7 linked regions of the Canis lupus familiaris genome follow. The protein of the gene in region 4 binds, or shares a complex with, the protein of the main gene of each other region. Links are inferred from orthologs where the notes say so. Each region holds a gene or a part of one and is shown on either strand. Other genes may lie near its edges.

Region 1 (3,174 bases), on a different chromosome or scaffold from region 4:
TTACCCAGAACTAAAGAATGCACATCAATAAAAACCCCAAACTCAGGAGCCCCAGAGCTGCATTTGGGGGATGGGATCAAAACGGGGGAGGGATGAGTCAAAGGATAATTTTCTCAGTTTTGATGTTTTCCTCTTCCCCCTGAGAAATTCAAATATGACTTCATTGCTAATTCTTTCAAACAAGGAACTTAAAAGTCGTCATAACATTCATAGCAATGTACTGGTTGTTAAGAAGCAGATCAACTTTAGAATCATTTTTCCTATTTTGTCATTTTGCCAAACTAAAGGAGGCCAACCTCCACAAAAAGCACCTGAACATTTAAGAGAGAAAGGCCAATCAGGACAGGCTAACTGCAAAATGATGCAAACCAAAGATAATGGGGCAAGAGTGGCCACTCTTACAGCTCCAACTTCTGATGTGAGAGGCAGTGCTGGGGGAATGTAATAAACTGTACTCAGGGTTCTGAATCAGTGTCCTACTGCCCCTCAGGTCCTTGTTAGTGGAGAGAGGGAAGGTGAGAATGTCTATTCCAAAATTCTATGAAGCATCCTAAAAAAAACTAGCCACAGTAAAGATCTGAGATAGAAGAAGTTAAAAATAAACAAAGCAAAACGAAAACTAAACTTTTGAATTATGTAGAAAATCTGCGGGGGATCCTGATTATAGACAAAAAGGCTTCTTTGGGGATGTTGCACAACTGTACAGCGAGAGATTATTACCATTGTTTCCACGGATAAATGCATCACCATACTTATTCTTCAGCTGTCCATTTACATATTCTTCCGTCTGCTCCAAGGCTATATTCATGTAGCCATCCAGGCAAGCCAGGACCCCTGGAGGCAGATTTAGTCAAAGAGAAGATATACAAGGCAAATAAGAGTTGAAAATTACAGGGTACACCTTAGAGCTGACAATCTCATTATTTGTTAGCTCTCACATCCTTAATATAAAAATTCACGCTGTAAGTGAAACTCAATAGTTTCATTCTATGCCAATGTGAATGAAGGCTAAGAAGCATACAGTGTGAAAGCAGACATGGATGCATTGCTAACAGGGAAAACATCAAACTATCACTTGCTTCATGGGACGTGTGATCACAGCAAGTTCTAAAGCCTTCACAAAAATAACGTAACGAGCACACTCCAAATAAAATACCATTCTTTGAAAGCTAAAATCAGGAGTGGGCAATTATGCACGAACAAATGACCACTGGCCAAGGCTCCTCACTTCCAGGGGGCATGTCTTACTTTAGCCACTAAGTAAAATATGAGTCTGGCAGATTTACTGCATTCTTTTGCAACATCTACTGCAGCAGATGAATGTACTCCAGGGTTAAGAGGAAGTCTCCACAATCTGTTAAAATAATAGAAGAGGAGATAGCAGGTGCTCCTGAAGGAACAACTTAAAGCTGTGACTCACAGTGAAGAGCAGCTTGAGAAGACAGGGCACCATATTGCATTATAACACATCCCTTTCTGTTTTGTTACACTTAGAATATTTTCAAATCCAGACTAATATAGAAAAATGGCCAAAAACATTCTAAAGAGCTTTTAAGGGAAACTGTTTGAGTCAATCTTTTTAATTGTGTTGAGATGGTATAAATTGTGCACAATGTGCCCTGATAATTTTTTTCAAAAGATGAAAATATAGAAGCCTCCGAGTCTCTAACTTCAAGCGGTAATATCTAGAAAAAAAAAATTAAGAATACTACAAGTTTGATACAATTAGCCAAATCGATAGCTTCATTTAGTCTCACTAAATGCTCCTCACTCCCTGCCTCTGCCCTCATTTGCCTCTAAACAAAAATGTTTCTTTTCCAAATTGTGTAATGAGAACACACGACATTAATCTGAAGGAATTCTGCTAGAAGCTGTACACTTTCAAATAATCAGAATAGATTTGAACAATTACTAACAATTATTTTCCATCAAAAGAAAGCCTAAGATATAACTTTCCTGTTTATTTCCTACTGTATTATTTTATATCTAAGCCACAATCCTAAGTGAGCAAGAAACTTCCAAAGCATGATATGCAAATGTTTGAAAGTTAACCCAAAGCATTTCAAAATGAAATATTCACTAGTAAAAAGTTATGTATTCTCCTTGCAAAGGTTGATTTAAGAAAAAGGCCAGGAGGTTGTCATTGTCTCTAAAGGGATAAAGTACCAGGAAGAACAGGAAAAAAAAAAGTTTTCTTCAAAATTTAAGAGAAATTGCTACAAAGAGCTGGGTTTTTAAAATTTAATCATGACAGTGACTAGCCATGTGAAAGGCCTCCAACCTCTCTAGTAAACAAAAAAAAAAAAACAAATAAAATGAAACTAGCACTTGTTGCCAATTAGAATGGAAAAGCTGAAAAGAAGGGGTTGGTGAGAACCCACAGAAGAATAAGCCCATCTGCCTTGAGGGGAGGGCCACTTGGCACACTCATTAACACAGAAATCCTAGCCTAGGGAATTTATTTTAAAGAAATACTTGGATACATGTCAAAGGAGAAAAGCTGTTTACTTAAAATAGTAAAAAAAACACTGGTAAACACCTACACATCCATCAATAGGAAATTGGTTAAAAACAAAAACAGAACTGTGGTACATCCCCATAAGGTACTCCTATACAGCATTAAACATTCTATATTGTCAGAGAACTGAATATATTTTTTTAATGTAAAAAGAAAAAAAATCAGAATGTATGCAGAGCTGATCCCATTTATATGAAATTATGCTTATATGGATTCAGGTCCAAACTGGTTAGCCTGATTCTCTCTGGATGGTAGAATTTGGGGAGACTGCTTTCTTCTGTATATTTTTCTTCATTATTTGCTTTGAAATTCTTTAGAAAAGAGAGATGAAATGAAAAAAAAAAAAAAAAGAAAAATTCATATACTACCTTTACAAATAAAAATATTATCCCTAACGAGTATAGAGAAAAAAGTCAGGCTAGGCCGGCTGAACTCCTCAGTGAAGTGGGTTCTGAGAAGATACTGAACACAATGTCCCCACCCTAACCAACTGTTGAATATGCTCAAATCTCTTAAAGTCTATTCTCTCCTCTGTGCTCATCAAACGTTCATGGGTATGAAGCAGTACATAGAGACTTTATACCTCAGTATTCAGTATAAATCCATTAGTTTCCACTATAAAAATAAAATTAAACTGGGTTATTGATGTCAAGAAA
Region 2 (4,112 bases), on a different chromosome or scaffold from region 4:
GAACTCTGGACTCCTCTAACCAAATGCCTACTTGATACCTCCACCTTAAACCTAACTAAACTCCTAATCTTTTCCTCCCAAACTGCTTCCCCTGCAATCTTCCCACTATTAGTAAATAGCAACTTAATGCCTCCTAATTGCTCATGTCAAAAGTCCTGGAGTTAAAAAAGAAAGTTCTGGAGTCATCCTTGACTCTTTTTTTTCATACCTCTACCTAATCCATAAGCAAATTTTGTCAGCTCTCCCTGCAAAATACATCTGTATTTGGCAGTGTTTTCCCTGCCTCTCTTATTATCATCTCTCATCTGGATTACTGCACTAGCCCTCCAAATGACTTCCCTACTCCCCCACATGCCCACTTCACAGCCTGCTCATGTATGGTAGATCATGTTGTTCTGCTTAACTCTTCAACTTCTTCCCTTGTTATTTGAAATAAAAGCCACCTCCTTAAATGGCTAAAAGACCACACATGATCTGGCTACTACCTTTCCTATTTACTCTATTTTGATACCTTGTCTCCTACTACTTAGCTTTCTTGCTCCAATCTGGCTGTACTGGCCTCCCTGCTTTTCCTTTAACATACCAAGAGTACTCCCAACTCAGGGCCCTTGCACTTGCTGTTCCTTCTATCTGGGATGCTCTTCAAAACCCTAGATATCTATAAGGCTCAATTCCTTACTTCAATTTTTGTGCTAATGTTACCATCTCAGAAGTAAGGTTCATCTTGACCCTCTCCTGGCACTTTTGTCCCTTTTTCTTGTTTTATTTGTCTCCATAGCAATTATTACTATACTATTATTATTAATCATCTAGTAATGATAATTAACTTTTTTGGTCTCTCTACACTCACTAGAATGTTTATTGCCATACCTCCAACAACAGAAATCCTTATGTCTAGAAGAGAACCTTGGGCAGTTCCGGTGGCTCAGCGGTTTAGCGCCACCTTTGGCCCAGGGCCTGATCCTGGAGACCTGGGATCGAGTCCCATGTCGGGGACCCTGCATGGAGCCTGCTTCTCCTTCTGCCTGTGTCTCTGCCTCCCTCCCTCCCTCCCTCCCTCTCTCTCTCTCTCTCTCCCCCTCTATGGAGCCTACTTCTTCCTCTGCCTGTGTCTCTGCCTCTCTCTCTGTCTCTCATGAATAAATAAATAAATAAATAAAATCTTAAAAAAAAAAAAAAAGAGAACCTTATATATAGTAGGTGCTCAATATGAGTTGAATGAATAATTGTACTAGTCTAGGATTTATTAATGAAAAAAAAAAAACAACCCTCACAGTTTTCTTGAATTAGAATTACTCTTTTAAATGAATTACTAAAGTAGTGTAGACCACTAAATAAAGCCAGAGGAAAAATACTAGCAGATTTAATGATTATAGGTGTATTAGCCTATAAAATAGAAAAACTGGATTATTTTACTATGTGGGGGAGCTGAATTATTCAGTTGGGGATCTCAATTTTCTATTTTTTTTAAAAGATTTTATTTATTTTACTCATGAGAGAGACACACACAGAAAGAGAGAGAGAGAGAAAGAGAGAGAGAGAGAGAGAGAGAGGTAGAGACACAGGCAGAGGGAGAAGCAGGCTTCATGCCCGAGGGAGCCCAATGCGGGATTCAATCCAGGGTCTCCAGGACCAGGCTCTGGGCTGAAGGTGGCGCTAAACCACTGAGCCACCTGGGCTGCCCCTCAATTTTCTAAGTTTTAAGAAAATTAAAATGAGAGACAAATCAAGCCCATCATTTGAATGTGATTTTTAAATCTATTATTACTCTGAACCTTAAAAACGTCTAGTGTAGTCCCATACTTCCTTAAACATATAGTCTTTATTTTCTACTACTACAGCTCATTAATAGAAGTTATTCTTTCATTTTTATGTTATTTGTAAAACATTGGCATTTTCTTTTTCTTTTTAAAAGATTATATTTATTTATTCATGAGAGACACAAGAGAGGCAGAGGCCCAGACAGAGGGGGAAGCAGACTCCATGCATGGAGCCCCATGTGGGACTTGATTCCGGGACTCCAGGATCATGCCCTGAGCTGAAGGCAGACACCTAACCGCTGAGCCACCAGGCATCCCAAAGACTTTTTAAAAAAATATTTTATTTATTTATTCATGAGAGACACAGAGACAGAGGCAGAGATATAGGTAGAGGGAGAAGCAGGCTCCCTGCAGGGAGCCTGATGCAGGACTCGATTCCAGGATCTTAGAAACCTCTACGTTTTCTTTATAGGTGTGTATTAATTTTATGTGCAGTAAAAACAACAGCGATTCTCTAAAATGAGGTATGTATTGTTTACAATGTAAATTCAACTTAGTAAAGAGAATGTCATACCTTTTTCCACATGAGTTTTAATCCCAGCTCTTCTCTCTCTAGCTTTCTGGGCCATTTCTCTAAGTTTCTCTTCATGTTTCTCCTTTTCTTTTTGTGCCATCTTTCTCTCTACTTGAGCACGCATTTCTACAGCTTCACGAGCCTGTTAGTAAGATTGAATGTTAAATAAGACACGACTAGGGGTAAGTTACAGCTATCATCCAACACTGTAACTAAAGTCTGGCTTGAAAGAGAAGTTATAAAGAATTTAGATTTGTTATTGCTGATTAAAACAAAGATTCTTGTCCACTAAAGAAACCTTGCCTGGAATACAATGCAAACTTAGATTTTCACTCTGGAAAATATTTTAGTGGCTGAAAGTATAGGACCCCAATCAATCTTATAAATCACTGTTTCACTAGTGCTTTCTCAGAAACAACCCAAAATATAAAAAGATTCCAGTAAAGAAATTTTCAATATCAGTAACATAGCATGTGTTCAAAATCAAGCAAGTCTATTCAAGATAAAGCCTTAGCAAGAAATGATTTTTATAAGGGTTCTTGCTATGATACAGGAGATATACTTCTCTATGCTTTAGATGCATGCCATAATGTATGTGAACTTCTAAGTCAGACATTAATAGTATTAATGCCATAATATTAAAAGACAACCAATATTATAACTATCATTTTCTATAGCATTCAAATATCAAAATGTTTATTTGCCCTTCTATGCTACCAACCTTTTGGGAGGCATCTATATTTAAAATAAATAAATCATGAAATCTAAAAACAGCAGTCGGCAATCTCCTTCAAAATGAGATCGGCCTAGCAAACCATCGTTCTAGAATGTGGAAGCTGGACTGCCAGTGGTAGGGTATGTGTGTAAGTCTACAAAGGCTAGACCAGGTATAGAACTGTAAATAGCACCTGCCACCTCTGGCACACATGCTGCAGGTGAGAGCCTCTCTGGGTACTGAGTACTGTAGCATAAATGGCAGTATCTTAGGTAAATCAAACCATCATGCTATATGGCTTAAAATTTACAGTGATATGTCAATTAAACTGGAATGAACAAACAATATCTTAGGTAACCAAAAATGGATTTACAAATTATCAAGAGCATTAAACCATTTAATTATAACAGACCAACCTTCCGATCAGCAATATAGAGGGCTTCGGCCAGCTTAGCAAAATTCTCATTGATGTGAACTGTCTGCAGGCCTCTTCCATCAGCAGCCAGACGTTTGTCTAATGGAATTGTATACCCCTGTGTGACAGCAGGCAGAAAATACCAGTCATAAAAGAGCAGCAATATATTCTTTAAAAACAGATTTAAATGTCCATTTTGACCACCACTGAACTGAAGTTTTTTTTCTTATATCTTTTTTCACAGTTATATAACAGCAGCAGCAGCTAACATGGAGGGCTTCCTATGGAGGCCAATTTAAAAGCACTTCACACTGTAGTCCCATTTCACCTTCATTGTGACTCTGGAAGGCTGATTAACACTGTGTTTCCGTTTCACAGATGCTGCTACTGAGGTAGGGAGCTTAGATAATGTCCCCAAGGGCACACAGTTAATAACAGATGAGCTAAAATTTAAACTTGGGTAGTGTGACGTTAGAGCCCAAGCTCTGAGCAAAATATTTTCGTGTTAATAATGAGTTATAATAAAAGGAAATCACTAGCAAATAGCTAGATAGCTGTTTTTCAAGTAATTTAACAGTCATATAAAAGTGAAACAAGACACTAAGAGTACATAGAGGTAGTTTAATGTGCACTGTTTCAACTGAAATT
Region 3 (4,622 bases), on a different chromosome or scaffold from region 4:
TTGGGGGGGGGGGTGCGTTTGGTTTTTAAAGTAGGTGCCATGCCCAATGTGGGGCTTGAACTCACAACCCTGATTAAGGATTAAGAGCCAACTGCTCTACCAACGGAGACAGCCAGGCATCCGTTTTTGGTTTCTTTTTTTTTTTTCTTTTTTTGAGATAAGGTCTTTAAAGACATGATTAAGTTGACAGCAAAGCCCTAATCCAATATGACTGGTGTCCTTATCTGAAGAGGAAGAGACACCAGGGATGCAAGCCCACAGAGGAGAGGCCATGTGAGGACCCAGCCAAGAAGGTAGCCATTCGAAAACCAAGGAAAGAGGCGTCAGGAGAAACAAAACCTCCTAACACCTTGACCTTGGACTTTAGCCTCCAGAATTGTGAGAAAATTAATTTTTGTTGTTTAAGGTATCCAGTCTGTGGTATTTGGTTATGGAAGCCCTAGAAAACCAACACAGCCCTCCTGGAACACAGTCTGGCATGCAATCACCATGCCATTTAACAATGGCACACCTGGGCACTTATCCCAGAAAACTGAAGACGTGTTCACACAAAAACCTGTATACAAATGTTACACAGCAACCTTATATACACAATAACCAAAAACTGGTAACAACTCACTTGTCCTTTAATGGGTAAAGGGTTAAAACCACACCACTGAGTATCACTCAGCAATAAAAAAGGAATCAAATACTGACAAAGACAAGCTGAATGAATCTCCAAAGAAATGTGCTGAGTGAAAAAAGCCAATCCCTAAAGGTTAGACGGATGATTCCATTTACATGATTCCATTTACATAATGTTCTTGAAGTGACAACCGTTATAGAGACAGAGAGCAGATTAGAAGTTGCCAGGACTTGAGGGGTTAAGGATGAGAGACAGGCGGGTGAGACTATCCAAGGACAACCCAATGGGTCCTTGTGGGGATGGAAATGTTCGCATCTTAACTGTCACGATGTCAATACCCTCCCGGTGATACTGCACTGGAATTCTGTAAGATGCTACCAGTGGGAAAAACACAGTGAAGAACGTACCTCTGTATTTTTTATTTTTTAAAACAGCTGAGTGTGTAAATCAACAATTCTCAAAATTTTTTTAAAAAGGTGTCACAAAACAAGTAGAAAAACAACAACAACCCAGTTTCTAGAAACACCCGCTACGGATAAAGGTAAACACCTAGGATCATGTATTTGTCAGGACGGTAAGAGATTCTAGATTTGGACCTGGTATCAAAACATCTCGGTCCGCTTACCTGCTTCACTTTGACTGTCGAGTGGTGAGGGCTTCGGCTTCTCTTACTCCGAGGAGACTTGCTTCTTCTCCCTGAGGACTTGTTTTTCCTCTTGGCTGGGGACCTTTTTGGAGCAGGGTACACACAGGATTTTATCTCAATTTCCCTTCCCCCATATACACTCACAGTCAAGTGTCAGGCTTACTTACTAACAATACAAACAGCACATCCAGTGAAGGGCTCTGCTTTTCACACCAAGGAAGGCGGGGAGCTCCGCTCTCCAGCCCGGGACACCCTCCTTGAGCTTCAGACCCCCCCCCCCCCCCACACACACACACACAGAGCTGCCTCTGGAGCATTCTGAGAGCCTGACTCTTGCTTCCCAACCCCTCAAAGCCCTTTCCTCCCTCAGCCTCTGCCATCTCAGTAACGGGTATCACCATCCACCCTGCTTCTCAAGCCCAAAAAACCCAGAGAACCCCCCGTGACTCCCCTTTCCTTTCCCCAGCAATAGCTCCCGACACTCTCCGGCAACAACCACGTCAATCCGACAGCGAGTCAGTCCTCCGGCTCTAGATCGCCTCTCTCCCCTCCGTTGATCCCTAAACGACCCCTCTCCACCCCCACCCCGCACTCCCACTTCTAGAACAATCACATTAACCGGGCTTCAGCTTCTTTGCGCACATGGGTTTCCCCAGCCTGGACAATCCTTATCGTTCGGGTCTCAACGCAAACCGCACGTTTTCAGAGGGGCCTTCCTTCTCTCGCTTCCTTCCAAGGCTCGCTCTCACACCTCCGGTTGGAGCCGCTTCTTAATACTTGTTACATACGGAAACTATTTTATCGGCCTTGTTACTCTGTCTCGAGGCGGGAGCACACCCATTCCATTTCGCCGGGGCAAAGGCCGCACGAGGCCCCAGGAGCGACGGCTGTCTTTCTTCCTTTAGCAACGCGCTCACAACTTAAGTCGAAGGAATACACGGAGCAGTCCAGCAAGAGATGGTTTTTCTTCCAACTGCCTACCAGGTGGATCGCCTGGGCTGCCAAGGCGGAGGGCTTCTGGGGCAGACGTCTGGAAGGCCTAGTAGGCCGGCAGCCCATGTGCGGGCAGATGCGGAGGAGCCTTTATTTCGGGTCCATATGCGCGGTGTCCGGGCAGATGCGGGGCGCAGGGATGAGGGGGGCGGGATCCTGCGCATCAGGCAGGGGCCGCCGTAAACGCTCTCCCGCACAGCGCCACCGGCTCACCCCCCCCCCACCCCCTTTGACATGAAACCCGAGCAGCCGCGCTCGGCTCCCAAAACGGGGCTCTGACGCCAGCCCCGCCCCTCCTCCAAGTCCCCATCCCGGGCGCCTCCCCCACTTACCGGCTGCCTCCTCGGGCTCGGCTCCCGCGGTGCCCAGGGCGGCCCGGGTCGCCGGCCGGCGGGGACGCGCTCCCGCCCGAGGACTCGGGGCGGCGGTGGGCGGGCGGCGCGGCTTCCGGGCTCAGGCGCTCCTGCTTCACCTTCACCACCATCGCCGCCGCCACCACGTCCCCGTCGCGGTGCCTCCGCCGGGTGCCCCGCTCCCGCTCGCTCTTTACCTCCTTCATGCTGAGATACGAGCAGAGAGCGAAGCGGGGGAGGGAAACAAAACAAAACAAACAAAAAAAAAAAAAGAGAGAGAGAGAGATCCGTTGCGCTCCTCTCGCTAAAGGAAACGACGGGCTTGACCCCCCGCACTTCCGCTTCCGGGTGCGCGCTCTCCCAGAAACCCTTGCGGCGGCGAGCGAAGCACGTGACCACGACCCTGCAAGCGGGAGGGGCTGTCGGGAGCCGCTCGGGTGGCGGGAGTTTTAAACGTCAAAGAGACGCTTCTGGGCAGCCCGGGTGGCTCAGCGGTTGTTTAGCGCCGCCTGCAGCCCGGGGCTGGATCCTGGAGATTCGGGATCGAGTCCCACGTCGGGCTCCCTGCGTGGAGCCTGCTTCTCCCTCTGCCTGTGTCTCTCATAAATAAACAAAATATTTAAAAAAAAAGAGGAAACAGAGAAGGAAATGCAATCACTGACAGCCCCCCGGGGGGGTGGGGGCAAGTCATTACTATCTTCCCTGCTAGTCCTGAGCTTCGTGTTATGTTGTCACTTCTCCATTTAATTTAAAAAATGAATTCTTAATTTATTTACTTTTTTACTTTTTTTTATTTATTTTTTTTTACTTTTTATTTTCAAGTCCTTTCTAGAGCCAGCGGTGGGGCTGGAACTCCCCACCCCCATATCGACGTCTCACCCTCTACTGACTGAACCAGCCAGGTGCCCCTCGCCCCAACACAAATACTTTTTAAAACTGGGGAGCAAAAAAATTATTTTTAATTTTTAAAAAGAAAACCAGGGAGCTCCGGGAATCCCCGGGTGGCTCAGCGGTTAGCGCCTGCCTTTGACCCAGGGCGTGACCCTGGAGACCCCGGATCAAGTCCCACGTCGGGCTCCCTGCGTGGAGCCTGCTTCTCCCTCTGCCTGTGTCCCTGCCTCTCTCTCTCTCTCTCATGAATAAATAAAATTAAAAAAAAAAAAGAAACCGGGGAGCTGCAGGTGCCTCCCTCTGGGAATCTGCAGATTCCCAAGCCTCCACCGAGGAGTCACAGGGCTCCCATTCTGCAGGTGACAAAGTTGGCGGCCAGCGAAGGTGACCGTGCGCCTCGTTGCAATGGCCTGCGAGCCGCAGCGTGGGGACTCCGTTCCCGTTTGGCGTGGTTTTCCAGGAGCATCAAGGCGACCCGCGGGGCAGGAACCGCGATCAACCGAGCGGGAGGAGAATTCCTGGCGAGGCTGAGCGGGAACTCTGCGCTGCTGGCCCCGCCCCATCCGAAGCCCCGCCCAGGCCACGAGGCGCGGCGGGGGGGCCGGGGGGTTTCCATGGTGACGGCAAACAAGGAGCACGCTGGAGGGGCGGCCGCCGGACTCGAACCCGCGTCGCCGCCATGATCCCCCCTGCGGACTCTCTGCTCAAGTACGACACCCCGGTGCTGGTGAGCCGGAACACGGAGAAGCGGAGCCCCAAGGTCAGGGCGGGCCTGGGGGGCGGGGGAGCCCGGAGGCTCCGAGGGGCGGGGGGCACCCGGGGGGCACCCGGAGGGCTGGTGTAGGGTGAGGAAGCAAGCCCCGGGGTGCATGGGGCTCGCTGTCCTGCACACTGGTCCGGTCGCGCTCGCTCCATCCCCAGGCCGCTGAGCACCTGCGCCTGCAGCAGCGGTTCCAGGAGATACAGACCTTGGGCCGGGGGTGGGACCGCAGGCTCTCTCCACCTTCAGCTGAGACCTAACTTATGCTGAGAAGAGAGAAGGGGCAAGTGAGCTGCGAAGAGGGGAGCGCTCTTCAGAAGACCTGGAGCAAGCCGGGGGGTGGGGGTGGGGGTG
Region 4 (4,816 bases):
TGCAGTCAAATGAGTTTTTACCCCTTCCAGTTACAGGCTAGAAAATATGACATTTCATGCAATTTTTAAAGATTTGTTCAATGGCACCTGGATGACTCAGTGATTCAAGCGTCTGCCTTTGGCTCAGGTCATGATCCCAGGATCCTGGGATTGAGTCTCACAAAGGGCTCCCTGCTCAGTAGGGAGTCTGCTTCTCCCTCTACCCCTCTCCCTGCTCATGTTCTCTCAAATAAATAAACAAAAATCTTTAAAAAAAATTTGAGAGAGCACTTGCAAAAGTGGGGTAGGGGCAAAGAGAGAGACTATCAAGCAGACTCCTTGATGAGCGTGGAGACCCACAGGGGGCTCCATCTCACCACCCATGAGATCATGATCTGAGCTGACACCAAGAGTTGGACACCTAACCAACCGAGCCATTCAAGCACCCCTGAAATTTCATGCAATTTTAATGTATGAGAGAATTCAAAGGTAAGTTAAGACACAGGCCTGGGGCACCTGGGTGGCGCCTCCTTTGAGCACCTGAGTTTTGGCTTAGGTCATGATCTTGGGTTGTGAGATGGAGCCTCAAGTAGGGCTCCATGCTCAGTGCAGAGTCTGCTTGTCCCTCTCCCTCTGTTCCTCCCCTCACATGCTCTCTAATAAATGAAACCTTAAAAAAAAAACACCCCAAAATACGTTGTAGTATATATAAAATAATTTAATAGGATATATATAAAAGACAGCAAATAGAACACATATGAACTTATTTAGCCCTAAGTGAGATCTTGTTATTATCACTATTTTACAGATGAGGAACCAAGGGTCAGAAAGATTTTCTAAAGTCACATAGTAAGAAAGTTTGAGCAAATGCAAATGGTTCATTTTGGCTGTAGAATGGGATACTCCACACTAGTGTGTGTCATATTTGGCACCTTGCATTTCAGATGGAAGAGCCTGAACGCCGTGCCAACAAGTCTACACTTTACTGTTCAGATAGTCATAAATTATTAAAGCAGAGTCCAGTCATTGGCAATACCACCATGGCAGTGATTTTTAGGAAGTGGGATGGAGAATTTGGTTAGGTCTCAGTATCTCCACCCCGGCCTAGTAACATCTGGGGCCAGGTAACTCTGTTGAGTGATGTCCAGCGCGTTGTACAATGTTCAGCAGCATCTCTAGCTTCTACTCACTAGCGGCCTGCCAGTAGAAACAGGCTCCCTACCCCACAGTTAAGAACCACTGAATTAAGCTAAACCAGGAGGAGGGCATAAAAGAGTAGAAAATATCTGTGAAGAAATAAAAGAGAAAAAAAATTGAAGGTCATTTTGGAGGATGGTCTCAAAGTACATGAGATCGAGAGATGAGAGAAATTATTAAAACCAGTTTCATCCTGTGAAATTCTCAAATATCTGTTAAGAAACAAAAGCACCTGTTAAGAAATGAAAAAGGTAATCTAAGATTACAAGTAGAGGATGGTTCTTTTGCTAAAAATAATTAGCATCTCACCAGTTCGTGAAGAACCCAGAGAATACTTCTAAGGTTTTGCCAAGTCGTCAAGGAAAGAGAGTTTTAGACAGAACTCCAAAATAAGTTGTATTTTTCTTAACGTCGGGCTCACGATGAACACTTCAACAGACCCAGCTAAAATACACGGAGTTCTTGCACAAAAAATGGCTTTGATACAAATATGCATTTCAATGTAAAACTATTTTTTTTCTTTAAAAGATTTACTTGAGAGCGAGAACCAGAGAGAGAGAGAGAGTGCGCGTGCGAGCGAGCAGGCGAGCAGTGGGGAGGGGGCAGAGAAGGAGGAGACACACCAAGCCGACTCCACGCTGAGCCCAGAGCCCACCGGGGCTGATCTCACCAGCAGATCAGGATCTGGGCTGAAACCAAGAGTGGGACCCTTAACCGACTGACCACCAAGGCGCCCCTAAATGCACAATTTCCTGGGCAGCCCGGGGGTGGGGGGGGGTGGGGCTCAGCGGTTGTGCGGCTGCCTTTGGCTCAGGTCGTGACCCCAAGGTTCTGGGATCGAGTCCTGCGTCGGGCTCCCTGCATGGAGCCCGCTTCTCCCTCTGCCTGTGTCTCAAATAAATAATAAAAAAAATCTTAAAAAAAAAAAAAAAAAGCACAATTACTAAATACGGCTTTTTCTTGCAGTCTGACTCCTCCACGAGGCTGGCAGGACGTGACCCACGCACAGGGCGGACGGCTGTTTCACAAAGCGACCCCCGGGTCCCGTTCTCCTGTTCTGCGCTACCACGTGCAGAAATCCTGGGACTGCGCGGCGGACACGAGACGGAGGCACTCGGGAGGCCCTGCACACGCTCGGCCCAGCGTCCCCGAGCCCGGGCCCACGCAAGTAGGAACATCCGGTTTTGAGGGGATTTTTACTGGATGCAGGAAAAAAGAAAAAAACTTACTTTTCTTGGATTAAAAAAAAAGAAAAAAATGAACGTTCCCCCACAGCGCTGTTAACAGATCACGTGACATCCAAGTCTTAACTTCTGCACAAGATCAAAAAAAAATTTATTTTTTTTAAATTTTCATCTATTCATGAGAGACCCAGAGAGAGAGAGAGAGACAGAGAGACACAGAGAGAGAGAGAGAGGCGCAGAGACCCGGGCGGAGGGAGGAGCAGGCTCCACGCAGGGAGCCCGACGCGGGCCTCGAACCCGTGACCCCGGGTCACGCCCTGGGCCGCGGGCGGCGCTAACCCCGCTGGGCCCCCGGGCGCCCCGGAGGGAGATTCCGAGAACAGAGCTCAAGGAAACCGCCGCCCCGCCCCGTCCTCGCGCCCCGCGGAGCCGCTCTGCCGCCCCCCGAGCGGGGCCCCGGCGCACGGACGCCGCCACCCGCACGCGGCCCTCCCGCGTACTCACTTTTTCAGCTCGGGAGGGTGAGCCTTGCTCATGGCGCCGACTCGGCGAGCTCGCAGAGGCCTCCACACGGCTCCCTCACGCTCCCGCCGCTTGGCGCCTGACGTCACCGGCCCCCGCCGCCAATCAAACGCCGGCAGAGGTCACATTCCCTCCCGCGATACTTTGAGGGCGCCCCCGGACTTGCCGAACGCCCGCGAGTTTCCGGTTGCGTTGCCAGCGATTGGCCTGCATGGGGCTACATGGGGTGGGACTTCCGGTCGCCTCCTCAATTCCGTTTCCTGATTGGTGAAACTGACGTAAGGGCTGGGTCTCTAAGTCGTCGGCGCAGCTGGCGGATCCCTCGCTTTGCGACCTGCGCGGGTTAGCGTCCTCGCACGTGCCCAGTGCGCACGCGCTCGGGAGGGCTGGGCTCTGGTCCTGCCAAGGTCGATCAGCCTGCGGTGCCCCCGCATCGGGCGCTCTGCTCCTCCCTTCTGCCTGTGTCTCTCGTTAATAAATAAAATCTTAAAAAAAAAAAAAAAAAAAAAAAAGACTTAGGCCTCGGTGATTCTGAGTAGAGGATGATTCTCCAAAATTCAGTTCCTCCCTAATGTCCAGGAATGGCTCTATTTAAATACGAATAAAAGACTGAGCCTCATTCTAGCACTCAAAATCCTACAGGTGGCATTTGCCCAACTTCCCACCTCTCGCTGCTTACAAGCAGCTACGGTCCCGAAATGGATGGTTTAGCCTTCCCACGGTTATTTTTACATTAATGGACTCCGAGTCCCAGGGCCTTAGCTTGTCCTGTTTTCCCCCATTTACAATGAACCAGTCCCGCGTCTGAATCACAGCGAGTTTTTACTCTTCACGACGTCTTCAGACACTTATTTTACACATTACAAAGAGAAGCATCCTAAGAAAGTTGTAGATTCACTGCTCGCATACGAGAGACGCCGTAGTGGAGGAAAAAACTAAACCTTATTTATTTTTTAAAACTGAACCACTAGGAAAATAGATCACAGACTTGAGACACCCAACGCAGGCTATATCATCATTTCAAGTACTAAGTTGGTAAAAAGACAGTAAGGTCTTTATCAAAATGAAAAGGTGCTAGAGCTGGGGCAGGAACACGGCTTGCTGCAAAGGTCCTGGGGCAAGGGTGGCATTTGGTAATGGGGTGGGGGGTTGCCCCTCTTCTGCTTTAAAGGGATCACAGCCCACCCTTGAGTTGCCTACTTTTTCTCCTTTGACCTTCCTGTCACCAAGTGATTGTCTGAATAGGACTCTGTTATTTTGGGGGCAAAATAAGCAATACTGAGTTTAGGTTTTCATCCCATTCTGTTCCATAAAAGCCAGGTTTTTCCAAAGCCAGTACCTAATAACTCTCTTAATTAAGAAGACAAGAGCTCCTCCTTCAGTGTTCATTCCTGGATGCTGGTAAATGGTGCAATCAAAAACCCCTTTCCCTTCAAAAAGGAGAGTGTCACTGTGAGATTGTCCTGTCGCTCTGCTGCAGATAGCCTCGGGGCCCGTCATGGCAGCTGGCGAGAGGAAAGATCTGCTTCCCATACCCAATGGAGCATCACCTGTCATGTTTTTGCAGGGTCTCTCTCCTAGCTGAAAGATGGGATGTGTATTTCAAGAAATGCACACCCACATCTTGATGGCCAGAAACAGATAACCACAAGAACTGTTCAAAGTTCTACCTCTCCCAACTCCGTATCTTAAATCCATTTCATGCCCTTCTATATAAAAAACCAAGCAAAACAAAGACCCAGAAACCTTTTTTTTCCCTTCTAGATTAGTGACCTCGTGGATTTTGTTTGACAGCTTATGGAAAACGATTTGGTGATCCTTCTGGTAAACAGGAGGTTGGCAACAAACAGAAATACCTCTGCGCACACCACCAGATTGCAGGCAGGTTACAGGAACCTGCCAGCCTGTTGGTACCTGTGTAGTAAGAAGAATCT
Region 5 (4,754 bases), on a different chromosome or scaffold from region 4:
ACATCTTCCTGCGTGCTCCCAGCCCCACTTTGAATTTGACTCTACCTTTCTGACTTATGATTCACAGAGAAAATCAGAAGACATCAGAATGAAATACCTTCCTCGGGACAACTGGGTGGCTCAGGGCCTGATCCCAGATTCCCAAGATGGAATCCCACATCAGGCTCCTTGCATGGAGCCTGCTTCTCCTCTCTCTGCCTCTCTTTCTGTGTCTCCCACGAATAATAAATATAATCTTTAAAAAAACCCAAAAACATCTTAAAAAAAAAACCCCGACAACAAACACCTTCCTCTTCCAGCCAGATCTACAAACCCACCTGCAACTATTTCCATTTCCATATTCTCACTTGTCCTTTCTACTTGTGATCTGGATACAATCCCTCTTGACTTCTCATATCACTCCTGTATTTATTACCATTTCTCCATGCAACCAGCTTTTCCTCTTCCATCAGCATAAAAATATGCCCTATTATCTTCCATTTAATATTCCCTTTACTACCATGTACCTCCTCTGGCTTCATGTCTATGCACATTTGTACAAAAAACAAAAGTCTCCATGTGTATCTTGACTACTGTACCCCAGTCTCTTGAATTCACTCCAACTAGACTTCTCCTCTGGCATTCTAGTGCTTATGTCAAATATCCAAACTAGAGTGATAAGACATCTTTGGGAGAGTAGTAGATGGAGCGGTGAGGAAAAGGGTGGTGCCCATTCAGGCAGTTTATGTGAAATAATCCTGGTGATCGAGGCGGAGGCAGCGCCCAATGCCAGACTACTGTCCCAATCCAGAGGGAGAGCTGCGAACAGGGACAGAGTTAAGTCCTCTGACATTCTGAGAGTAAATGTTATCTCCAAGAGCAAATATTGAGAGAGGAAAGGGGAGAAAGAGGGTATTTCCTACATTTGGAGGCTAGCTGAAGAAATCAGATGTGAAGAATGAGGAAAGTACACTATTGTAGAAATTAAAGAAATAAAAACAGAGAGAGTGAGAAGGACAGTAAGGACCTGGAAGTCACAGGAATAAATGATACCATGGGCTCAGGGAATGGTTAATACCTATACATGGCTTCCTCTGAGGAATAAGGAAGAGAAGATAAAGCAAATGCAAAATATGCTCATTAACAAAAACAAATTACCAGTACAGATGACACAGTACTTACCCAATGGCTACTAAATCTTCATGATGAGGTGAGCAAGTAAGACAGAAAATTGTCCTGGGTTCTATAAAGAGGTGCTGGCTGTCATTTCGGTTAAGCCAGTAACAGAAAACTACTCCTTTTTCATCTCCAGATACTATTAAATCCTTTACTTGAGGAGACCAATGCAGTGCTGATATTGTATGCTTTAAAACAAAACAAAAATACATTGCTTTTCATTTGTCAGTGCTGAATTTTTACTTCATTTTTAACTTGTATAATACTAGGCACATTGATATGTACTTAATAAATACCGTTAGTACCACTTGTATACCAAGACTACATTAACCAAATGGTAGAAGAATTTAAGCTCCTAAGGATTAAAGAACTATTTAAAAACATTTCTTCCTTTAGCTTAATTGAAAGTTCTTACTAAGATTGAGTCTTTTTCTTTTCTACATTCTCTCAAAAGGTAGGCTTAGTAAGTAATCATCTGGTTTAGAAACAAATTTCATTCATTTACAGTTTATGTCAGGAGTCTTTTCCATGTTAAAAAACCAGATTGTAGACATTTTAGACTTTGTGTGCCATACTGTCTCTGGTACAACTACTCTGCTGTTGTAGTATGCAAGCAGCCAATACTTAAATGAATGACTGAGGGTGTGTTCCAATAAAACCAATTTGCAAAAACAGGCAGCACAGTAGTTTGCTGACCTCTGGTTTATATGTATCTCCTTCCAAAAAAGTTTTGAGGCATCTTACAATTTATATATAGAATATAGAGCTTCTCATCCAAATAATGGACATTATTATAAAAGTTAACTTGCACAGATGAGTTAGCGTACTTGAAACAAAAGAACCCTCAGCAAATATATAATAATGGTCTGAGAAACCGGTAAGCCACAGTACCTGATGGAGTGCATGTTCTGTCACAACTGTTTTTGTTTCCGCATCCCAGATTTTCACAGTTCCATCATCAGAGCTGGTGGCGCAGAGGTTGTATTGACCCGGATGATGAGAAAATGTGAAGCCAGAGACCCTTTCGGTGTGTCCCACCAACTCCCCTACGACTTCAAGCAAAACCGGACTTCAGGTTAGAGTGCTACCTAAGATTCCTGGGAGGATCATACTGATGTTAGACGAGTGGGACTTCACTTATCCCATGGCATAACAAAAATATCCAGGCACTCACAATCAGAAATCCCAAGTGCTGGTTCTGGCTCTGCCACGGGACTTCAGCCCAGTCATTTTATCTCCTTGAGCCTCACTCTTTTCAGCCGTAAAATGCTGCTGATATCCCTTGTTGTTCACAGTTCACAGGCTGAGGAGCGGCTCAAATGAAGAATGTAAAAGTGATTCTTATTTAAACGTGGCCCAGAGGTCATTTGGGAAAGAATAAATAACTGGCTTGCCATGTCCCAAGGCAAAATCTAAACCTAGCTTGGAGCCTGAAAGCATCTGGCTCAACTCATTCATCTTCAAGAAACAGGTATCATCTATTTCCAGGACGTTGTTCAGGGCCTGGAGCTGTAGACAGCCCCGGAACGCAGGGAGGCTCCCAGGGGACAGTGTGCGCTGCGTCGGGGAGGGAGGCCACAGAGGTTATCAACGCCTGGCTCCATAAAGGGGTAACTCGAGGGAGCGAGCGGTTCTACGCGAGAGCGCCAGGAGGCGGGGCCGCGCAGCCACAGCGTGGTATGGTAACTCAATCCTGGAGACGCGGACGCAACTCAGCCCGGTATCCTTCTGCCAACCTGGGCCTCAGTTTCCCCACCTGCAGGGAAGGGTGCCTAGAAACTCTCCCTCGGCGCCTACGACGAACCCAACAAGGGCAGGAGGGCGGGGGCTCAAAGCGGGGAGTTACCTCGAAATGGGGGCGTCCCAGGGATCGCGCCAGCGCTTGGGCCCACGCGCACAAGGAAGACGGAGGTCCGCGCTGCGAAGCCGAAGAGGCCCCCGGGCACCGCATCGCTGCAGCGGGCGCAGTACCAGTTAGGAGAGGGCGGCAGCGTGCGCGGCTCCTGTCCCATGATCACGGCCCAGCAGGGACGAACGAAGGAACCCCAGGAGCAGACCGTTCGCAGCCCCACGCCGCAGCCGGGAAGGGGGCGGGGCTGGCTCGGAGCCCCGCCTCGCCGGGCCCGCCGCTACGGCGCGCGCCGAGGCCCAGGCCGCACCGCGAGCGCCGCTCCCGCCGCCGCCGCCGCCGCCGCCGCCGCCGGGCTGGGAGGGGCGGCCGCGCGCGCGGGGCTCTGCCTGCCGCCGCCGCCGCCCGGGGCCAGGAGTCCCGGTGCTGCCGAGCCCAGCCTGGGGGTCAGGCTTTCTCACCTCCCACAGCAAAGTACTAATTAAAGCGTTAGACTGACTAGTGGAGTCACCTCGACCAGCCGTTTTAAGTTTTTAATTTTTGAATAGTTCAGCCACTATTCCGTCAAGTAGTTGTGAACGCTCTGTGCCAGGGTACTTCGCTAGCTCCGGAGATTCTGCAGAGACCTGCAACAAGCCAGTTAACCAAAAGATAAACGTTCGAATCAAATCAAAAAAGACCGGAAGAGTTAGTTTCTGCAACCGCGAGGAAATTCTGGCCCTAGAGTCTTCGGACTCAAAGAGGAGCAGAATCGCGTGACTTGATGGGGTGCCGGCTCCGTGAAGGGCGATGTGTGTGGAGCTGCGGGCTCCGCGCCCCGGCTCTCCTGGGGTATGTGGCAGCCCTGAACGGGGACGAACGACGCCGGAGATCTCTCCTAACGGGGAGAGGCCACGCATGTTTTTGAATGTGGGTAGGGGCACCAGTTTGGGAGGCATCCAGGCCGAGGCTGAATCAGTGGTTTTGCCGGTTGTTGTTGGAGATACCTTAACCTGTCCCAATCTGCTTTCTCACTTGCAGGAAGGTGATAACCCATGCCTGGTCGGATTGCTGTGAGGAATTCACAGATTTAGTGAAACGCCTGCCCGGCATATGAGTATTGATTTATCTCTTGTAGATCAACCTGGAGATTAGCATAGGGATTAGGACATCATACTCTATATTTGAGCTGTTTGTTCTTTGAAAGAGCTTTCCACACGATCTCTAGTGATCTTCACAACAAGCCTGTGCCGCTTTTCTGTTTTGCTGAGGAAACAGGTCCACCCACGTTAGGTGGCTTGTTCACCGTCTCTTGTCCTACTCTTTCTGGCCACGTGTGAGGGGAGGTTTCTCAATTTTTCTGGATCTCCATGAATGTCCGTACACTCTCAGTCTTCGGCCTGTGTTAAAGTCACTCACTCCCAGGCAAAGGTGTCCGGCTCACACCTCAGGCGCGGGCGGCGCGTTCGCGGTCCCCAGGACGGCACCCGGGGCGGGAGTACTGCCGGGTCTCGCGCGGGGGCAGACAACCTGAGAACTGCGCATGCGCGTGGTCCCGGCAGTGCGTGAACTCGGAGGCTTCCGTAGAGGGAGGGAGGAAGATGGCGGCGGCAACGCTGGAGCGCTTGGGTAGGGATTTCTGAGCGGTTTAGGCGCCGTAGGAGGGAATGGAGGTGGAAATCGGAACTGACTGCTTGTGTTGATGTTTCAGGTGCATCATGGATGCCGAACCTGCGGAGGAAGCTGGCCTTAGGGTAAGTCTTTTCACCCC
Region 6 (4,603 bases), on a different chromosome or scaffold from region 4:
TTTTAAAAGATTTTTATTTATTTATTCATGAAAGACAGACAGAGAGAGAGGCAGAGACACAGGCAGACGGAGAAGCAGGCTCCGTGCAGGGAGCCCGATGTGGGACTTGATCCCAGGTCTCCAGGCTCACGCCCTGGGCCAAAGGTGGTGCTAAACTGCTGAGCCACCCGGGCTGCCCCTCAGGTGTTTCTTTAAAGTCTTACACATGAAGAGAAAAATTTTAGATATAAAGAATTATTAGCAGAATTGTTGGTATTTTCTCTTCTTGCTAATAGCTAACTGACACTTTAATATACTTTATACCTTTTTAAATAAAAACCTGAAAAAAAAATATATACTTTATACTTTTTCCTAGCATGGAAATGTTCTTGACTATTTCTACTAGTCCTCTCAGTAATGTCTCAGAATTTCATACATCACTCTTTGAACATCACTAATAAGTAGATAAAACAGGCTTAGTGGTTTAAAATTATCCTACAGGTGCCTGAGCGGCTCAGGTGGTTAAGCAGCAGACTCTTGAATTTGGCTCAGGTCATGACTTCAGGGTCATAAATACAAGCCCTGTGTGGGTTTCCACACTGAGCCTAGAGCCTGCTTAAGATTCTCTCTCTCCCTCTGCCCCTCCCCCTGCTTACACGCTCTTTGTCTCTTGAAACAAACAAATAAATAAAATCTTTTTTTTTAAAGATTTTATTTATTTATTCATGAGAGAGAGAGAGAGAGAGGGAGAGACAGAGAGGGAGGCAGAGGCACAGACAGAGGGAGAAGGAGGCTCCATGCAGGGAGCCCAATGCGGGACTCAATCCTGGGTCTCCAGGATCATGCCCTGGGCTGAAGGCAGTGCTAAACTGCTGAGCCACCCAGGCTGCCCAATAAAATCTTTAAAGAAAAAAAAAAAAAAAAAATTACCCTAGAGTGAGGATTCTAGGGTGAAGAATCCAAGTCCTCTCTCAGCTCTTTTCCAGGTCTCAATTCTTACCATAAAATGTACAGAGAGAGTACATAATGTGACCTTGGTTAAGACCAGCCCCTTCCAACTGTCAGATGTTCCACTTGTTAAACTTCCATCTTTGATTCTGCACCAAAAATTATGTCTCTGGTGGACTGAATCTCTTTATACTTTAAAAGACAATTCATGGCATATTTTGTAAAGTTCAGCAAAATGCAATTATTTGGTAACCAGGAGTTACATTACTCATGTGGCTAGAAACACTAACCTATTCTTATAGCCTCTCTAACCAATGAGGAATTCTGCAAACTTTGACCTATAAAGTAATAACAATGTTATTAATAGACTGAAAATATCACCCTGACTGACCTTCCTTTTTCTTAGTTTGTAATCATTTAATTCTTCTTCATCTGTGATCTTCTGTTGAGGTGGAGGAGGAAGAAGCTCAAGTTCTCTTTCTTTAGCTTCTCTTAAGAGTTGCTCAGCAGTTATCTGTACCTCAGCTGGGGCTTTGTTTTTCACCTTTTAAGATAGAAGATATTCTCATTTTTAGTAGATGCTCATCACACAAAGTTTAGGAAGCAAAAAGACATTTTTTTAGGATGGGAACTTTGTATTATTACAAGATGCCCTCTTCATATGACAGGTTTTCATTTCTCTATGAAATTAAACAGAAAACAAAGTTTTCTTTCTTATGCATGGTATTTATTACAAAGCCATAGGTAAGTCTTCAGAGAAAAGGTAGCAAAAATAGCAAGTGTTCTCTTTTAGATTAGAATAATAATAAACCTTGAGGCTGCTCAGGTAAATTCTCACTAGAGGTGTTTTATGAAGATGTGTGCTGTATCTTTCCTAGTGTTACACTCTCTATTTACAGAACTTTTCAATTATGCCCCATGTGGATGATAATGCCTCAAACTGTGTTTGGTTGTTTTCATGGCATTTCAAATCAAAGACAGTTCAATAAATTCCCATAATTAGACAGACCATAAGTTTCTTGAAGTCTTAGAGCTGTGCTGTCCAACATAGTAGTCATGAGCTAATGCAGTGAGCCCAAATAGAGATGGACTGTAAGGGTAAAATATACACTAGATTTTGAAGACATAGTGTGAAATAAGCCAGTAAACTGCCTGATTAGATTTCCTATGTTGATTACATGTTCAATTAGCAATATATTGGATACAATGGATTAAAGAAAATATACAGTTAAAATTAATGTCACCTGTTTTGACTATTTAATGTAGCTACAGGAAAACTTAAAATTACATAATGTGGCTCACACTGTATATCTGTTGGACCACTGGTGCCCTGTAACATTTTATGGAATTGGATTATAAGAAATATTGTTTAATGCCATGTGTGGAATGACTTTGATAATAATGACTACAGCTCATATGCAGTCACAGATGCTGTGCTATGTGACTTAAACGGATATGTAAAGGACAAGCTCAAGAGAGCCACCTGGGCTGGAGAGACAGACTGGAGTGAGGGCGTCCGTAAAGGTTCAGGGTAAAGCCCGTCACACATTAAGCACTCAGTGAGTATCAGTCACCGATGGAACTATCATATAATACCAAACTTACTGTTTAATTAAATTAATGCCACTACACAACCCATGCCCTCTCATTCTTTCCAGGCTCAGGGGGCCTAACTCCTAGTCAGCCACCAGGTGTCGGCTTAAACATCACTTCCTCAGGAAAGCGGACTCGGCATACCCCTCATACAAACCCCATCACTCCGCGGCATATCCTACGCCGCCTCACTCGTATTCGGCAAGGTGGCAATTTCACATTGGCTCGTGTCATTTGTGAAAACGGCACATTGCCCGCGTTAGGTCGTAGTTCCTTCCCCAGCGCCTAGCGCGCTGCCTAAATCCTGCCGAATGACCCCACTCCTCCCTCCGCAAAAACACGCCCTAGAAAGAAGGCCGCGCCAACGCGGCGTGGGAAGGGAGCGTCTCCGGGGCGACAAAAGCCTGCGCCCCACCGCCTGCCAACCCTTCCACTCGATCCACACGGGGTAGGATGGCTCTAGGCAGTCTTCCGCCGCGGGCCCCGAGGAGGCTGGGGCAAGCCCCTCTCCGGGGCCTCCTCCCACAAAGCCCTTCGCGGTCTCCTACCTTCGCCACTTTGGGAATCCTCTGCTTCCCGGCAGCGGTGGAGGCCGCCATGGCTGCAGCACAAGACCGCGACTCAACCTGGACCCCAGAAATAGACCCCGAGGGCTGGACAGAATCCCAGGGATTTCCGACAACAAGCGAGATCCCAAAACAGGAAGCGGAAGTTGCTGGCATGACCTTTGACTTCACGCACGCGCCGTGACGCCGGCAACTTCGTTTCTGTGGTAACCGGGCTGAGCGTCCTCCTCGGAGAGCAGTGTCTCGGAGTTGCGGGAGAGGTGGGTAGTGCTGGCTCGCCCGACAGGGGCGCGGGGACGGAGTCCGGGGCGCCAGGGGCGCATCCCCAGGTCAGTCTCCGGAACTGGGAGGACTTGCGAGGATGGGTGGGTCGGTCGAACCGTGGCTCCGGGGAAGGGCAAAAGGAACAAAGCTCCGATCCGGAGGCTTGGGGTCGGGGCAGAGAGGTAGGCCAGAAAACTTCCTTTCCCAGCATGCCAAGGGGCGAGCTGCTGCGTTCCTAGGTGGCCTGGCGCCGCGTTGCGTTCTAGGTTTTGTAGTCTTGGAGGTCTCTTTTTTTTTTTTTTTTTTTTCTGGACAGTTGTGCACAAGTGAAGTAACTGAAGGCATCTTAAAGCCAAATAATAGAAAAAAATGAAAATAAATCATCAAAGTACTAGCAAATAAACCATCCTTGTGGTCAGATAAACAGATGCTTAATTTTTTGTAAATGTGCCTTAATTACATCAATTCTCTTAGCCCCATGGTGCTTAGCTGTGAGACAAAAAGAATAGTATCTATTTTATCATCATTAAGGAGAAAATCTATGTAAAGTGCTCCGTAAATGTTAGCTGGTGTAATTCTTGACCTATCTTCAAAAGAAAAAGCTAATTTTATGCAAGCAAATAGTGAAGAGAATTTTTTTTAAAAAGACTTTTTAAAATAGCAGTTTTAAGTTCACAGAAAAGTTGAATGAAGGTACAGAGAATTTCTGTTTCTCACACCTGCCGTCCCGTTTGCCCCCACAATCGATATTCCCCGTGAGAGTGGTACATTTTTGTAATTGATGAACCTACACTGACAGCTCATTATTCACAAGTTAACATTAGGGTTCACATTCTATGGAATTTAGTGACCTGTATCTACCATCATAGAATGGTAAAGAATAGTTTTTCCATCCTAAAAATCCTTTGTGCTCCATCTATTTATTCCTCCTTCTCCTTTTGCCTCCTATAACCACTGATTTTAAAAAATTTTTAGGGCTGCTTTTTTTCAGAATGTTGTGTCATTTGCATCGGTATGTAGCTTTTTTAGAGTGGTTTCTTTCACTTGTTATATGCATTTGGGCTTCCTCCCTGTCTTCGTGGTGTGATAGCTCACTGGTTAAGAAATTTTTACAATTGCAAGGCTCTTTTGGTATTCAGAAAAAATATTCATAAGTATAAATATATGTGTGTATTTTATGTATTTAAATCTATCTCCGTAAATAGTGCTATTGAGAAAACGTTAACTGAAGTCATTTGTAACCAGTATAAAAA
Region 7 (4,112 bases), on a different chromosome or scaffold from region 4:
ACAATGCTGTACTGTATTCACCAAAAATTTCCATGTGTAAGTGGCCCCGCTCAATGCTATTCAAGGGTCCAACTGTTAACGCCAAAATTATGCAAAGGGCAATTCTGCTGTAATTGAATTCCATCTGTAATTCTCAAATTTCACATTTGTAAGCAGTTACTTAAAATTCCTCAATCCATTCAATTACTTTGTAAAGTAATTCAGGCAACCCGACTGCTGACATGGACATCTAACTACTGACTTCATACAATAAAGAAACCTATTCAAGATCAGATTAATGATTCATAGAGGGGATGATATAGTTTAAACTCCAATACTTTAATATCCCAATGACATTTAAACTTCACAAGGTAAAAACAAGTGTTATTCTTATTTATGCAACTTTTTTTTTAATTAAAGATTTTATTTATTTATTCATGAGAGAGACACACAGAGAGAGGCAGAGACACAGGCAGAGGGAGAAGCAGGCTCCATGCCGGGAGCCCGATGTGGGACTCGCTCCCTGGACTCTGGAAGCACACCCTGGGCCGAAGGCAGGTGCTCAACCGCTGAGCCACCAGGTGTCCCTTATTTATGCAACTTGCCAGAGGTTAAGACTAAACCAGACAATACTGTACTTTCCACTTCAGCTAGTATTTTACAGGTTGCCAGGTTCATTTTTTATAGAAATATATTATTTCTAATATATTAGAAATAGAAAAAGGGCACTACACGTAAAGAAAAATTAAGATTACTCATCACTTCCCCTTCTCACATATAATCACTATGAACATTTGGTACTTCTTTTGTAATATTTTTTCCTTCATAAACGTGGAATAATACTAACACACATGATCTAATTTTGAAAGTTTTATTGATTTTGTGATCTTCAGTATCCAGTATGTCAAATGCTATAGAAACAACAAAAAATACTAAGCTATTTTCCACTATATAATAGATTCATGGGTAACTCTTTTGTTATTCTAGATTTTCAATATAGCCCAATTTTAACCACTAAGATGAGAGAATTTAAAAGTATCAGACATGGTGTCAATTAGTGGGTGGGTGGAATATGAAGCATGGACTGTGGTGTAACCACCACCACTTAATTTCATACTTCCCTGAAGTCCAGCTGAACTACAGAAAATAATGCTGCCCTGGGTCGCAAATAAGTAATAACTTGTCTTTGCTTCCCAGTGACCACATACAATTATAAACCCCAAAATAGGGCAAACACATACCCTTGCCGGAGATGGGCTTGGTGTTGGGCTTTTAGCCTTTTTGACCGGTACCGCTGGTGACCAGTTGGTAGAGGGGGACTGAGACTGGACAGGGGATTGAGGTGCTGGGGGTTTTTTAGCTGCTGGCTCAGGAGATCCTGAGACAGATCGAGAGGACGAAACCCTCCTTACAGACTGAGGGCTTGGTGAGGCAGCCCTAGAAACAGAGGGAAAGAACAAAACATTTAGTATCCAAGAGCAAAGGTCTTTCCTAAGAGAAAATAACCAACCACCATTATATAACCAAGTCACAAACTTTACATTTTACTATTAGTTTGCTAGTTGATTCTACTAACACACATATCAAATTTGTATGGTCTAAATCTCTTAGCAGTTTAAGCCCCATAATCCTCTGTCCATTCTGTTAACAATTTTTCCTAGATGAAATTAATAATGCCAGTTCCTTGTACTTCAGACAACTTTTACCAGTCTTACACAGACATCCAAGAAATGTTCTATGCATTATTTCAGAGTTTAGTTTTGGAAGCACATTCCCCTGATACCCCTAGGAACCAAATATGGAGTCCTATGGCATTTAGTTTGTCCCATGAGGAACTATCCTGAAAAGAGAAAATGGATCTGTGTATAGTACCTTTAAGCTGCCTTAAAAGCCTGTATTCCCAGCTTATTCTTTTCTGTAATTTCTCAGTAAAGGGGGGAAAAAAGCTTCCAAACATAAAGAGCTATGCAAGTTAGTGTTCCTAACCAAAAAAAGCATAAAATATTTTTACTTTTTTGTCTTTTTGGGTTCCGGAGTCCTGGAGACTCTCCTAATGGGCCTAGTACTTGGAGAAGGGGACTGCCTTCTTTGGGGTGATGATGATGCTCCTCTTCGAACAGGTGGAGGACTTGAGGAGGTCTGAGGAGCTCGAGGCCGTGGTGAGGGCGAATGCCTTTTGTTTGGTTGTGGTGACCGGGGCTCCCGGGTAGACCGGCTCGGGGAAGACCCTTTCCTATGCTTTGATGATAATGAAGGCGAACGTCTCTTGGTGACTGGGGAGCTTCTTTGTTTGGGAGGTGGAGAATGGGAGACCCGACGCTTTGGTGGTGGAGATGGTGATGCCCTTCGTTTAGGAGGGGGAGGGGGAGAAGCCGTTCTTCTCTTTGGAGGTGGAGAAGGAGAGTATCTCCTCTGTATCGGAGGAGAGTATCTTCTTGGGGACGGTGAGCGCCGGCGGGGGGGAGGAGAAGGAGTTCTAGGAAAAAAACACCATTAAGGTCCAAAAGAATAAGGCAACAGAATGCACAGAAACCTAACCAGCAGTTATGGCAACACTGTGTTAAGCACCAGGCAAAGACAGAATTTTAACTGGAAATGCTATGCCTTTATCCTCATGTAAAGGAAAAGAAATCATTTAGTGGATTTGTTTATCCTAGATGACTAAGAAACAGGACATTCTGCATAATGGAGAAATCTGAAGTTTCCAGACTGAATTCTAGTTTGTCAAAAGTCACTTAATATAATCCATATGGAACCAATTTAATGAGTTTTTTTGAGAAGAGAATCTTGCATAAACTGTGAACACCCATTATTATGTAAGAGCTAGGTGGCTACATTAGCAGGACTCTATTACAGGAAACTTAGGAAGTCTGTCCTTTAAAGAGCTCTCCTGGGGGCACCTGGGTGCTTAGTTGGTTAATAAGCATTCTGCCTTTAGCTCAGGTCATGATCTTGGGGTCTTGGATTGAGCCCAATGTGGGGCTCCCTGCTCAGTGGGGGGGGAGTCTGCTTCTCTTTCCCCTGCTGCCTCTCTCCTCTACCCCCACTCGTGCTCTCTCAAGTAAGAAAAATCTTTTTTAAAAAAAGAGCTCTCCGATGTGGTGCTCTCTTGAACTGGCATTTGGACTATAAGTTCACTTGCATACATTTTAAAAGATCTATCTATACCTACCCCACCCTGCCAAGGAGAGACTTGGATTTTGTGTCTCAAAGAAAGCCACTTTTCAGTGGAAGTCTATCTTCTAGGCAGAATGCATCCCGACAGAAGTCCAAGCTGACCTTCGATTTACTTAATGCTTGATTCTTGTGTAATCCTAATGTGCCTTTAGAAATTAGACCTGAATATGACATTCAGTTCCAACTGCCTAATTTGTTCCTGAAATGTTCAACCTTGAGCTCAAAATATTTTACTGCCTAGAATCAGCTTTACAACAGGCTACTTTTTGGTCAATGAGGTAGTGTGCACCTCTATTTCCTCACCTGAAAAATGGGAATACCATCACCTACTAAGCAAGATCATCTAAAGGACTACAGATTAACAAAAATGATCAAAACTATGAAATTAGCCACAGCACTAATTTAGTATTAACTAAAATACAAGCCTGGTTTTGCACTAATGTTTCTCTTCTGATCCACATTCCAAAAATCAGAATTATATTTAGTTATCATGTGTCCTTGGTTCCTGCCAATACGAGACTATTCCTTTGTCTTTCAGGATTATCATTTTTAAAGAGTACTAGTCAGTTACCTTGTAGAATAACCTTCAATTTGGGTTTGTCTGGTATTTCCTAAAAAATCAGACTGGGGTTCTATATAATTGGTAAGAATACTATGGAGGTATCAAGAATTACATAATGCTAATATGTACTCTCGACTGTTAAATGATTCCTTAGTTAAGGAGGTATCTGCTGGAATTCTCCACTGTAAAGTTAGTATTTTTCCCTTTATAATCACTAAATAGAATGACTTCACCTTTAAATTTAACATCTTTGTTGACATGTGATTCACATACCATAAAATTTACCCATTTTAAAGTGTACATTTCAACTGTTTTAAGTATTTTCAGTCACGTAACTGTAACAACTCTCCCTATTCCCACCTGACCCTAGGCACTACTAATCTGCTTTTAACTC

What was found.
Region 1: SNRPG (region 4) and LSM6 share a complex: the UniProt entries of both Homo sapiens proteins name them as parts of the U4/U6-U5 tri-snRNP complex. The link is inferred for Canis lupus familiaris from reciprocal best matches to the Homo sapiens genes SNRPG and LSM6.
Region 2: SNRPG (region 4) and SNW1 share a complex: the UniProt entries of both Homo sapiens proteins name them as parts of the minor spliceosome. The link is inferred for Canis lupus familiaris from reciprocal best matches to the Homo sapiens genes SNRPG and SNW1.
Region 3: SNRPG (region 4) and SNIP1 share a complex: the UniProt entries of both Homo sapiens proteins name them as parts of the minor spliceosome. The link is inferred for Canis lupus familiaris from reciprocal best matches to the Homo sapiens genes SNRPG and SNIP1.
Region 5: SNRPG (region 4) and GEMIN5 share a complex: the UniProt entries of both Homo sapiens proteins name them as parts of the SMN-Sm complex. The link is inferred for Canis lupus familiaris from reciprocal best matches to the Homo sapiens genes SNRPG and GEMIN5.
Region 6: SNRPG (region 4) and CRNKL1 share a complex: the UniProt entries of both Homo sapiens proteins name them as parts of the minor spliceosome. The link is inferred for Canis lupus familiaris from reciprocal best matches to the Homo sapiens genes SNRPG and CRNKL1.
Region 7: SNRPG (region 4) and SRRM1 share a complex: the UniProt entries of both Homo sapiens proteins name them as parts of the minor spliceosome. The link is inferred for Canis lupus familiaris from reciprocal best matches to the Homo sapiens genes SNRPG and SRRM1.

The regions. Positions count from the first base shown.
Region 1 is NC_049236.1:44,960,931-44,964,104, reverse strand, and holds part of LSM6 (U6 snRNA-associated Sm-like protein LSm6), read right to left. Parts: intron 835-3,174; coding exon 721-834; intron 1-720. UniProt on the Homo sapiens protein: Plays a role in pre-mRNA splicing as component of the U4/U6-U5 tri-snRNP complex that is involved in spliceosome assembly, and as component of the precatalytic spliceosome (spliceosome B complex).
Region 2 is NC_049229.1:50,802,712-50,806,823, forward strand, and holds part of SNW1 (SNW domain-containing protein 1), read right to left. Parts: intron 3,583-4,112; coding exon 3,466-3,582; intron 2,477-3,465; coding exon 2,335-2,476; intron 1-2,334. UniProt on the Homo sapiens protein: Involved in pre-mRNA splicing as component of the spliceosome. As a component of the minor spliceosome, involved in the splicing of U12-type introns in pre-mRNAs.
Region 3 is NC_049236.1:4,998,760-5,003,381, reverse strand, and holds the start of SNIP1 (smad nuclear-interacting protein 1), read right to left. Parts: upstream 2,959-4,622; 5' UTR 2,824-2,958; coding exon 2,597-2,823; intron 2,457-2,596; exon of another isoform or gene 1,916-2,456; coding exon of another isoform or gene 1,914-1,915; intron 1,354-1,913; coding exon 1,251-1,353; intron 1-1,250. Other genes in the region: DNALI1 (axonemal dynein light intermediate polypeptide 1), read left to right, coding at 4,188-4,268. UniProt on the Homo sapiens protein: Required for pre-mRNA splicing as component of the spliceosome. As a component of the minor spliceosome, involved in the splicing of U12-type introns in pre-mRNAs. Down-regulates NF-kappa-B signaling by competing with RELA for CREBBP/EP300 binding.
Region 4 is NC_049231.1:70,134,897-70,139,712, forward strand, and holds the start of SNRPG (small nuclear ribonucleoprotein G), read right to left. Parts: upstream 2,949-4,816; 5' UTR 2,897-2,948; coding exon 2,865-2,896; intron 1-2,864. UniProt on the Homo sapiens protein: Plays a role in pre-mRNA splicing as a core component of the spliceosomal U1, U2, U4 and U5 small nuclear ribonucleoproteins (snRNPs), the building blocks of the spliceosome.
Region 5 is NC_049225.1:55,759,561-55,764,314, reverse strand, and holds the start of GEMIN5 (gem-associated protein 5), read right to left. Parts: upstream 3,258-4,754; 5' UTR 3,168-3,257; coding exon 3,002-3,167; intron 2,208-3,001; coding exon 2,047-2,207; intron 1,344-2,046; coding exon 1,162-1,343; intron 1-1,161. Other genes in the region: MRPL22 (39S ribosomal protein L22, mitochondrial), read left to right, coding at 4,585-4,612, 4,695-4,737. UniProt on the Homo sapiens protein: The SMN complex catalyzes the assembly of small nuclear ribonucleoproteins (snRNPs), the building blocks of the spliceosome, and thereby plays an important role in the splicing of cellular pre-mRNAs.
Region 6 is NC_049245.1:3,678,437-3,683,039, reverse strand, and holds the start of CRNKL1 (crooked neck-like protein 1), read right to left. Parts: upstream 3,247-4,603; 5' UTR 3,243-3,246; coding exon 3,069-3,242; intron 1,472-3,068; coding exon 1,319-1,471; intron 1-1,318. UniProt on the Homo sapiens protein: Involved in pre-mRNA splicing process. As a component of the minor spliceosome, involved in the splicing of U12-type introns in pre-mRNAs.
Region 7 is NC_049223.1:74,417,113-74,421,224, forward strand, and holds part of SRRM1 (serine/arginine repetitive matrix protein 1), read right to left. Parts: intron 2,471-4,112; coding exon 1,991-2,470; intron 1,417-1,990; coding exon 1,221-1,416; intron 1-1,220. UniProt on the Homo sapiens protein: Part of pre- and post-splicing multiprotein mRNP complexes. As a component of the minor spliceosome, involved in the splicing of U12-type introns in pre-mRNAs. Involved in numerous pre-mRNA processing events.